2 linked regions of the Arabidopsis thaliana genome follow. The protein of the gene in region 2 interacts with the protein of the main gene of each other region in a pairwise test. Each region holds a gene or a part of one and is shown on either strand. Other genes may lie near its edges. The genes, in order: HSFA1D and MBD10.

Region 1 (5,895 bases), 6.4 Mb from region 2:
TTCCTTTGAAATTCTTTGGTTCGGTTTAGTTTGAACTTTTTGGTTTGATTCGAGTTCAGTTTTGAAATTTTTATTACTTTTGACTAGGCTTAAAAATTTAATAACTTTTTTAAAAATACTTGATTTATTTTTTCTTACAAATTTTCTGTTTACAGTAAAACCTATATAAATTAATAATATTGGGACAAAAAAAATTTATTACTTTGAAAGGTATTAATTAATAAAATTGTATAAATTTTGTTAATTCTAACAAAAAATTTGATATAAAAAGTTTTTTTTTCTTTATAATCAATAGTATTTCTGAAACACAATTACAAGTAGAAAACAATTATTAAATTTAAAAAATAAAAATAGAAATTTGATGTTGTAAAATATTAGAATTCAACACTACAAAAAATTAATAAAAACTGAAGAAAAACATAACTAGTCATTTTTTACATATGATATTTATAATATTATATATAGATATATATTGGTAAATTTATACAATTATTAATTTATATTATTGATGAGACCATTTATTTATATAAGATTTTCATAAAAAAAATATTATTTTACTAATTTATCCGAGTTGTATCAATTTTTACATTGGTTTCAAATCGGGACCGAAATAATTTACTAATTTATAAAGATTATTAATTTATTGAATATTAATTTATAGAGGTTTTACGGTATTTGAAATAGTTCGGTTTAGTTTACACTAAACATAGACTCGGTTCAATATGTTTTGTATGAAATTTTTGGTATTGTGAAGTTATGAATTTTAGTTTAGTTTGGATTTATTCGGCATTCATGAAGGATTAATAATGTCAAAAAAAGAGAACAGATGAATAGTTATGTTGACTTAATAAGTTCGCATTGCTCTTCTTCAAGCAAAATAAGCGAAAAGTTCAAACAAGAGACTGAAACATGACACAGATTCTCATATTGATAGAGAATTTGTGTAAAATTGAGAGTTGTATGAAGCAGTAATGTTAAACCACTTTGATACAAGAAAGAAGAAATAAAAGATCAGCGTATGAAAAATGAATATGCTGCTCTCAGGGACTGTGTTACCTCAAAAGACTTTAAAAACTCCCAAAATCAAGGATTTTGCCTGAGTGAAATAAACATAATATAAATAACTAAGCAATTAAACTTGAATAGTTAGAGTTTGATAGACAACTACTAAAGTTGATCTTTAGTTACCTTGAGAGATCTAAGGTTTCAGGAGAGAGGAGACCCATCTGTTGAGTCAGATTATCCATATGCTTAGTTTTGTCCCATCCATTTTGTTCCTGCTCTGTTTCATTGTCCACTGGTGTTGAATCCATATTATCTGGAACCGGGCTTGACATGAGTAAGCGTTCGAGTAAACCGTAATCAACAGGGTCTATATCAGAATCCATTGGAAAGTCGTCAATGTCGAAGGACAAAGAATCATCGATCAACAGATCTGGATCTAGTAATGGACTAGAACCTCCCAGGTTTGGTTCCATGAAACTCTCTGGAGGCTTCTCTGAATTATTTTCCGGTAGCATATGAGTGAAGTCGGGAAGAGTTAGATCATCAGGTGAAGGAATACAGTTCTCGGTTGCTTCTGATGCTGCCGAAACATTTTCAGGAGTTGTTTCAATTGGTGATGATGACTGTATCTCAGAAGCTGTAGGCATTTCCTTAAGAGTTATACCCGATACTTGGTTTGATGAAGTCTCCATCTCTGTTCCCTCGGTAGTAGACGTACCATTACCTAGAAGGAAACCATCATCGCCGGTTTTGTAAGGTTCCATCTTCATAAGCTGTTTAAACATTGCTTTGGCTTGCTCGTGCATTGGAGGTTGATACTTCACTATCTGTCCATCAGGAGTAGCAGAATCATTATTACGGACAATGCCGTCTCGCTTGAATCTCCGCTTCTTACTGGTATCACTGATGCGCCTATTACTCTCGTTTTGCTGATTCTGCTGCTGTAAGAATTGAGATAGAAAATGAGGGCTTTGTACTGCCTTTGCAAGGAATGACATTAATTGTTGTTGCCGATTCTCCATGCCCTGGAGACGCTGAACCATCGTTTGAAGTTGGTTATCAGTGGACTGTTGCTGCTGTCTTAATCTGACGAGTTCTTGCATAAGGACGTTCTTATCTCTTTTAAGCCTTTCAACTTCTTCTTCGAGACCAAATTTGCCAACTTCAACACATGCGCTAACAGATGAGTTCTGTCCATTCGAGTGCTGAGATCGCTGATGTCCCTGTCCCTGTCCATGGGCAGGTTTTCGCCTAGTTATTGATTGTAGCAAGTGCTTCTGACCTCTTAAAAAACCTTCATTCGCAAATTCCCATCTATCTGGGTCAACCTTCCTGAAACCCTGTATCAAGAAAAGACACGCAAAATGGAATGAAAATGGATTCCACCAAGACCAATGAGAAAGAATTCATCCGACAGCTTTAGAAGTGCAAATCTAAAACCTTCAACACATAGTCTTTTAACTGCCAACTATCCACAGATTGAAACAGCCATATACAGGACGTAACTGATCAGTTGGCACATGCATCAAGAGCAATTTTAATTCAGAAGTCAAGTAAATGACCAATCATGGTCAATTTAATATATGAATCATGAAAACTACTTTATTTATGTTCCTATTATGGGTCTTACCTACCACCCAAACCGAGGAAAAACCAAAATATCTAATAGGGATAACTGAAAACTAAGAGGGTGAAAAGTATCTATGATCTACCAGTGTAATCTTTATGTCAAAGTCTGCATGGTATAAACTCATAAAGATTGAATTTTGCTTCAAATAGTGCCCAACATGTAAGACATCATGTACCACACAGACAGTAACTAAGGAATAACTGGCAAACAAGAACTGTCAGCAGAAAATTCAAGCTCCTTTAAGTGCATTCACCATCTTGCAGCATCACGAGCATCCTGCTCTAAATATTATGCAGTACAAGCTCCATTCACCATGACCTTTAGAGCAAAGCTTATATAGTTATCTACTTATATACACAATAAAATCTCCATCCAGCCTATATGAATAAAAAGTATTTAATCTAAGTGCAACCGTACAGAGCAAACCTATGGTTCCCGTAACTGACATGCCAGATAAAGATTTAAAGTCACACTAATAACAATATAGATATTCCAACACTAAACACCCATATATCTACTTAAGATCTAGTTTCTATTCCAGGCACTCCTGATCACATTGGCCTTTTAAGGTTTTCAAAGACGTGAGATATCTCCACTAAACCTTGACTCATCTACAACAAAATGATAGATTAGTAAAACAGAAAGTTGATAACCTTGCACTCAGGTCATGATCAACATGAGACTTGCTCTCTTATTCCAAATTTCTTCTTTCTTCTCCTTTATAATGAATGCTGAGAAAATTCAGGAAGGTTTATTACTATCTTACGACTATTACTAAACCTGATTACAGAGAGTCAAACAGACAACAAAGACAAAAAAAAAAGGGTATACATCTCTATTCTCATCCCCCTAAGTTTGTATGTACAGTCAGCTTCATCAACGCTCTCACATATCTATCATTTCAAAGCCGTGAGGTTCTAAACTAAACAATCACAAGATATCAAGTATTGCAAATAAAGTAGTCTCTAAAAAGCATACTCATGAAACTAACTATCGATTCTAATGGATACAAAACTCCTCTGCTCAGAAACATAAAGCAACCATGGGAACAACATTAATGGAACAAAATCCATAAAATCGAGAAATGATGAAGTAAAAAAAAAAGGCGAAGGGAAAGGGAAGAAGATTACATAGGTATTAAGCTGTCTAACGAAGCTGGAGAAATTATTATGCTTAAAGTTCTTAGGAAGAAGATCGCGAGCGAACTCCGGTGGTTTCCAAACGATAAAACTGTTGTTATTAGCACTCCAAGAGACAATCGAATCTGTATTGTGATCATCAACCATATCATAGGTCTTGCTCAGAAACGGAGGAGGCGCGTTTGAACTTAGAATCGCCGCAGGCTGAGGTTGAGGAGATGGCTTAGTCTCCATTGAATCTCCTCCGCCGTCGCTTGTGGTTACTTTGCTCACATCCATTCGGATTTTTGATTCCAAGTCAATATTTGGGAATTTTGAGAAAATTAGGGTTTTATATACGAAACTGGTGATTTTTACAATAGGTGAGAGAGAGAGATAACTTTTGATTGAAGATCTAGAGAATTCTCAGAGAACATTCACGAGAGATATGGGCGGAGAGAGATATAGATCAGAAGAGAGATTTTGAAATCGATGGAGAGGACGAAAGAGAGACGACGGGAGACTCATGAACACTTACGAAATTACGGAATTAGACATTTCGCTTTTTCTCTTAAAAGCGGATGATTTATTACGTGTCACTATATTATTCGCTATTACGCTCTGTTTTTTCTTTTTGGGCTGACTAGCCTGACACGAGTATCGATTTTAATTCGTTAAAATAATAAATTGAAATTTTATTTTGTCTTACAATCTTTTCAAATTCCATCAGAGATTTATGTATTAGTAACTAACAAAGTTTTTTCAAATCTTTTAAAAATAATAATAATTAAATCTACAAACTATTTTGAATAATAATAAAAGTAGATTTTTAAATCATTAGTTTAATAACACTAAATTTTATTAAAAAATTTTAACTTCATAATTAAATAATATATGATTTGTAAATTTTACACAAATCACTTAAAATACTATATTAAATACATCGTCTAAAAAATAAAGTCATGGTTTTATTTCCTCTATGTGGATCTCTACTTTCATATCTGTATTTTATTTCAATTCATATTTAGATTTTGTACTTTATTTATGAGTTCTTTAGTTATGAGGTTGAGAAGTTTTTGTTTAGTTTTAATGTTTTCCTTTATTCTAGGTTTTTTCCATTTGTATCTATTTTTGTTTACGGAAAATATGTTTGTTTGTCGGTTTAGCTTATAGAAATGTATTTTTTTTTGCCGGCATATGTATTGTAATAGGAAAACGGTCTATTTTCCCATGATAACTATGACATCATGCCAGATAGAGCCCGAACAATGACCACAATCCAGATGTCCACGAAAAGATACTTCTCGATCTATATCTCCCAAAATCGATAGTTTCATCTATTTCCCCATATATTTGGGTTTAATCGGTTTGCTGACCAGACCCTATAAAATCCACTCAAACCGATACCAAACCACTTTATATGTCAAACCTTCTTAAAAAAAAATAAAAAAAATAAAAAAAAACAAAATTGTTGTCGGTCAAACGGTCTATTTCTCCATGATAACTATGACATCATGCCAGATAGAGCCCTAAGTATGACCACAATCCAGATGTCCCCGAAAAGATACTTCTCGATTTATATTTCCCAAAATCGATAGTTTTCATCTATTTCCCCATATATTTGGGTTTAATCGGTTTTCTGACCAAACCCGATAAAAATCCATTCAAACTGATACCAAATCACTTTATATGTCATACCTTCTTAAAAAAAAAAAAAAAAAAAAAAAAAAAAAAACAAAATTGCTGTCGGTCTTGTCTTCTCCATTCTTCCCATAGAATTCCAGATTATGTTTATTTGAAAAAATAGTTTATCTCTCTCTTTGATTGTTACGATGGGTGTTAGATTTACTTTGAATCCACATACAAATTTGTCGTAACTAATGAAGAGATATTCAACAAAGCATTTTAAACGCATTCTAATTGCTAATAACGTTAACATCGACATTGACCTGAAAACTGGAATCGTTGCTAAGAATATGGCTAAGAAAGAGAAGATCAAGGTGAGCTTCCGCATGAATTTTACAATTCACAAAAGAACAACCCAATTAAACAAAATCAACATCTCAATTATTAAATAAGTTTTATCCAATTCTATTACTGTTCTTTCAATTGCTCATCTTAAAATCAATCTGGGAATTATAA
Region 2 (4,644 bases):
AACCACTGTTTCCAATGCCATCAACGTTATGAAGGGTGCTCTGCTCAACGCTGTCCCCATCGTTCATGCACCTGATATAGCACAAGAGGATCATCTGCAGCTAGTCAATGTAGGCTTCATTTTACATATATACTTTGGTTAATATATAATGTTTACTCATTTTGTGTTTTTTGAGATTGCAGGGGAGACATAGAAAAGTGATAGGTACGTTTTCAGCAACTGATTTGAAAGGATGTCGCCTACCGGAGTTGCAAACGTGGCTGCCACTCACAGCTCTGGAGTTCACCGAGAAAACTTCGGGGAAGGAGAGGGAGGTGGTGAGTTGCGGTGTGGAGTCGACTATGGAGGAAGCTATAGAGAAAGTGGTGACCAGAGGAGTGCACAGAGTATGGGTGATGGATCAACAGGGTCTGCTTCAAGGAGTCGTCTCCCTCACTGATATCATACGCTCCCTAAGATCTACTCTTTCGTAATCAACGAGCTCTCTGTGTTTTTACCTCTTTTATCTTATTATGTAATGTTCTACTTTGTAAGATCTACTCTTTTGTAATCAAAAAGCTCACTTTGTTTTTAACTTTTTAATCTTTACCATGCAATCTTCTGCTTTGGGACTTGGGTGTTAGGATTCATTCACTTTGCATCACTCGTCTAAGTATGAGACAAAGGACAGTCTAAATGCCTAATATTAATAATACAACAAAGTACAAAGGTACAAAGATACAAACGTCAAATGATAATGGACTGAACTACAACATAGAGAGACATTAGTTCTACCAACACATACAACAACCACTCATAATGTTAATGCTACACCTGAAATCACAACAAACTCTTCACGCTCTGTGCTCTGTACAGAACGATATAGGTTTTAACAGCTCACGGAAGCTGCAGCTCCCTGCTGCTGTTGAACTTGATTCGCCTCCAAGCTTCTGTTTGTGTCTTCTGCCTTCATGTCGTTACTCTTCTCCTCTGCTACTGCAGCTTCGGTCTTCTTGACATCAGACTCTTGGGTTTCGTTCTCCTTATTTGCTGCAGCTTCTGTCTTCTTCTCATCAGATTCTTGAGTGTCATTTTCCTTATTCGCCTCAGCTTCTGTCGTCTTCTCATCATATTCTTTGGATTCTTTTCCCTTATCTGCTTCAGCATCTGCATCAAGGTTAGGCTCACCCAGGGTTACATTCTGTTCTCCGTTAGCTTCGGTTGTCACGCTGCCCTTGTTCTCAGTCTTTTCCTCTGCAGGCTTCTTCTCTACATCAGCCTCAGTAACAACTTCCTGCGCCTCTTTCATTTCAGTGTCCTTGAGGCCTTCAACTTTGGAAGGTTCTTCAGCTCCTTCTCCACTCCCAGCCTTCTTCTCCAACTCAGAGGTATCCACTTCCATGGACTCTTTCTTGTCTCTCACAACTTCTGCCTCTTTGTTCTCAGCCTCAGCCTTTTCACCCTCCTTCTCCTTCTCAGCCTCTGCAATTTCCGTTTGACCCTCCTTCCCAGCCTCAGTTTTCTCACCCTCTTTGTTCACCTTCTCAGCCTCAGTCTTCTCACCCTCGTTGTTCTCCTTCTCCGCCTCTGCAATTTCTGTCACTCCCTCCTTCTCTTTCTCCTTCTCAGCCTCTGCGTTTTCCGTCTTCCCATCCTTATCAACATCCATGTTCTCCTTCACAGCAGCCTCTTCATTTTTCTCAGCAGCCTCCTTATTGTCCTTCTTCGTGAGAGAAGATCGTCTCTTCTTCAGGAGGGGCTCTTTGTCAGGAGTAGGCGTTGTAGCCTTAACCTTTTGGCTGATCCTTGAAGACCTCCTTGGAGTTTCCCCAGTTGTCCACTCAAACTCAGAGATGACAGGATTGCCAGGATGGGCCTTCAGGTACTGCTCCAACTGCTTCCGCGAGCTAATCTCTTCACCCGTTGGAGCCACAAACACAATCTCCGTCTTTCTCGGAGTACCGGCTCTTTTCGGATAAAACTGAAACCAAAACAAGCTTCTACTAATCAAACACCAAAGATACATGAACTAGCAGCAACACAAGGCACAATCTAAGAGAAACCCCCAAATTTAATCAACCAAATCTAGGGTTTCAAGAGTATTTAATCCAAAACCCTAATTTGACCTCCAAGAAAGCCCTAACCGTTAAATTCCCATCTAATTGGATAATTCAAAATGAATTGAACACAAAGAGCCCCAAATTCGACTAGAAACGAACATTTCTTGAAATCCCCCAAATTGAACATAAACCCTAAACCATGAGAAACAAAAGAAACTAACTTCAAGATAAAGCAGAACAGACAAACAATCTCTTACACAGACAACATCAATTAAAGGAAAAAAGGAATAATAATTACAGCAGAAATTTCAAGAAACAGTAGAAGGGACAAAGAAGGAAGAAATACCAGTTTCTTCCATGAAGCTGGAGCTGGTAGCTCAATGGAGACAAGCTCGTCTGTGTTTTCCATCTTCTTCTTCTCTATTCACCTGACACTGTACGACCAAGAAACAAGCTCCAACTTAAATTACTTTATCTTGAAACAAATTTCGGCTTTCTTTCCTTTCTGGTAATAGAAGCTGTAAGAACCGTTGTGACCCTAATGGATATGTTTGCGTGTCTCTTCTGTTCTGTCCTAATTTTTTTTATTCTTTTTTTATTTCAAACAAGAAATGATATTTCTTCCTCCACGTAATCCACGAGAGCGTGGATGATAAATTTACACTGGGTCGACGTGATAGTTTAGTGACAGACCTCTTTGAGAACGACACGTATCCAGTGTGGTCGACGTTTCATCGATGGATAAGGAAGTATCTGTTTCCCGCTTAATAAAGTAGAATGGAGAGTGGTGTTGAGGTCCGGTACGTGACCGCTGCTGTTTTCACGCCGAATATTCTTTTTCTGTTTTATTCCCACTCTCCTACTACTACTCTCCATGCTAAAAGCCCAAATCAACAGCCCAATTACTATTCGGAACATTTTTTTTGCTTTGATACTTTTAGGTTCAGATTCTCTTGTTGGCACAAGTCTAATCCCTAATAATTAGTGAAGAGCACTAATTTAAGGAATGTCCTCTAATCATTTTATTAAAATAAAATGTACATATATGTGGAAATCAAACACTGGACAGATCACCTGGAAGGTAGGATCAATGTGCAAGTGGGACATGAGACACAAGAACATGTCCTTAACAAAACAAAACAAAAATACACAAGAACATGTCCCATATTAAGATACTGATTAGTCAAACCGAGATATTGCTCTTAATTCTTTTGGACTGAAAGATGGTAAACAAAGGATATTTCTCATTTACGGTGAAAACGTATAAGCCACATTTCCCAGTATTCTCGATCAACTCCAAATGGAAGATGATAAGTGGTAACAACAAGGGCTTTGAGAAAAGAAAAGAAAACCGAAAAGAAAAAATAAATCAGAAATGCCCGAACCAGTATGTGTGTGTGTCTTCCAAGTCTTGTTCAGTCATATAGACCTTCTTGTTCCCAAATGTCCACTAGAAAATCCACCATTTCCTGTTTTCAATCAGTAACACAGTTAGTTGACTGGGTTTTTTTCCTGCACTCGGAGGAGTTTGATTACTTACGGTGAGAGGAATGGGTTGGGGAAATAACTTGTTGCTCCCCAGCAAGCTATCATACGTTGCTGTGTTCCAACTGCAAATGATAGACATATAAAATGTAACATTGCCAGACTTTAGCCCTTAGCTTTCAGCAAACAATAGTGTGTAACAGAGCCACTCACTTTAACTTGGCTCCTTGATTGTGATCCACCGGGTTGTTGGGTTTATCCTTTCCCACCCAACGCTCCCGTGTCTGATTCCAAAGAAGAAGACCTGCAAACACACAAACCCACTTCATATATAACCATCACAAAACACTAGACCACAACGCTCCCCTTCCGTGAAATCCAAAAAAGAAAGTACCTTGATTTACATATTCAGGAGGAGCATTAGAGTTTCTAGCAGCAGATTGAGAATCAAAAGTCTGATTGGATGATGATAAGCTCCCCTGTGAAGGGAAGGTGATGTTGTCCATATCAACTGTGCTTGTTGACCAGAAATCTTCAGAGACACTCGGTTTCTTACACGGTCGAGCAATGGAATTGGAAGGTGGATCCTTCAGACTGGCGGCAGTTGATCTGTGTTCTCTGTAGCAACCCACGCAGCCACTGCTCTGTTACAAAACCATAACTTTTGATCATTGCCCAAAAAACATCCTTATTTCCTTAGCAAAACATTTTTCTATAAAACTTTCAGAGATAGCTATCTCATCTGCATAAAACAACCTTATAAACACCATTCCCCAGCAATAAAATTAGGGTTTATCTATCATGAACATGAATCCCAAGCAGCACATAACGCAGGAACAAAGCCCATCAAACAGAATCTCAAATCCAAATCAATCAAATACCAAAACATTCTGCATAAAGTCAAAAACAGAAATCGGAAGAAGAAACGCACCCCATCGATATGTGAAGGAAGCGATTTATAAACCCAGGAGCTCAGATAGATCTGGGAAAGCTCGAGATGTTCTCAAGAGGGTGATCAATGATCCTTGTCAAATAACAAACCAATTAACCAACCCTATTATAGATAAAAGCCAAAGAAGAAACCAATCAACAGCGAACAAAAACATATTCAATATATACA

Evidence for each region.
Region 1: the proteins of MBD10 (region 2) and HSFA1D interact in a two-hybrid assay, tested with the Arabidopsis thaliana proteins (one large-scale study listed by BioGRID).

What each region holds. Positions count from the first base shown.
Region 1 is NC_003070.9:11,656,182-11,662,076, forward strand, and holds HSFA1D (heat shock transcription factor A1D), read right to left. Parts: upstream 4,291-5,895; 5' UTR 4,054-4,290; coding exon 3,766-4,053; intron 2,346-3,765; coding exon 1,189-2,345; coding exon of another isoform or gene 1,185-1,188; exon of another isoform or gene 1,097-1,184; coding exon 1,084-1,096; 3' UTR 783-1,083; downstream 1-782. Other genes in the region: AT1G32337 (uncharacterized protein), read left to right, coding at 5,634-5,753. UniProt on the Arabidopsis thaliana protein: Transcriptional regulator that specifically binds DNA sequence 5'-AGAAnnTTCT-3' known as heat shock promoter elements (HSE).
Region 2 is NC_003070.9:5,275,027-5,279,670, forward strand, and holds MBD10 (methyl-CPG-binding domain 10), read right to left. Parts: upstream 2,844-4,644; 5' UTR 2,449-2,843; coding exon 2,386-2,448; intron 1,961-2,385; coding exon 869-1,960; 3' UTR 590-868; downstream 1-589. Other genes in the region: AT1G15330 (Cystathionine beta-synthase (CBS) protein), read left to right, coding at 1-109, 183-473; AT1G15350 (DUF4050 family protein), read right to left, coding at 3,455-3,508, 3,580-3,649, 3,738-3,828, 3,919-4,163, 4,456-4,460. UniProt on the Arabidopsis thaliana protein: Probable transcriptional regulator. Required for nucleolar dominance that consist in the silencing of rRNA genes inherited from one progenitor in genetic hybrids.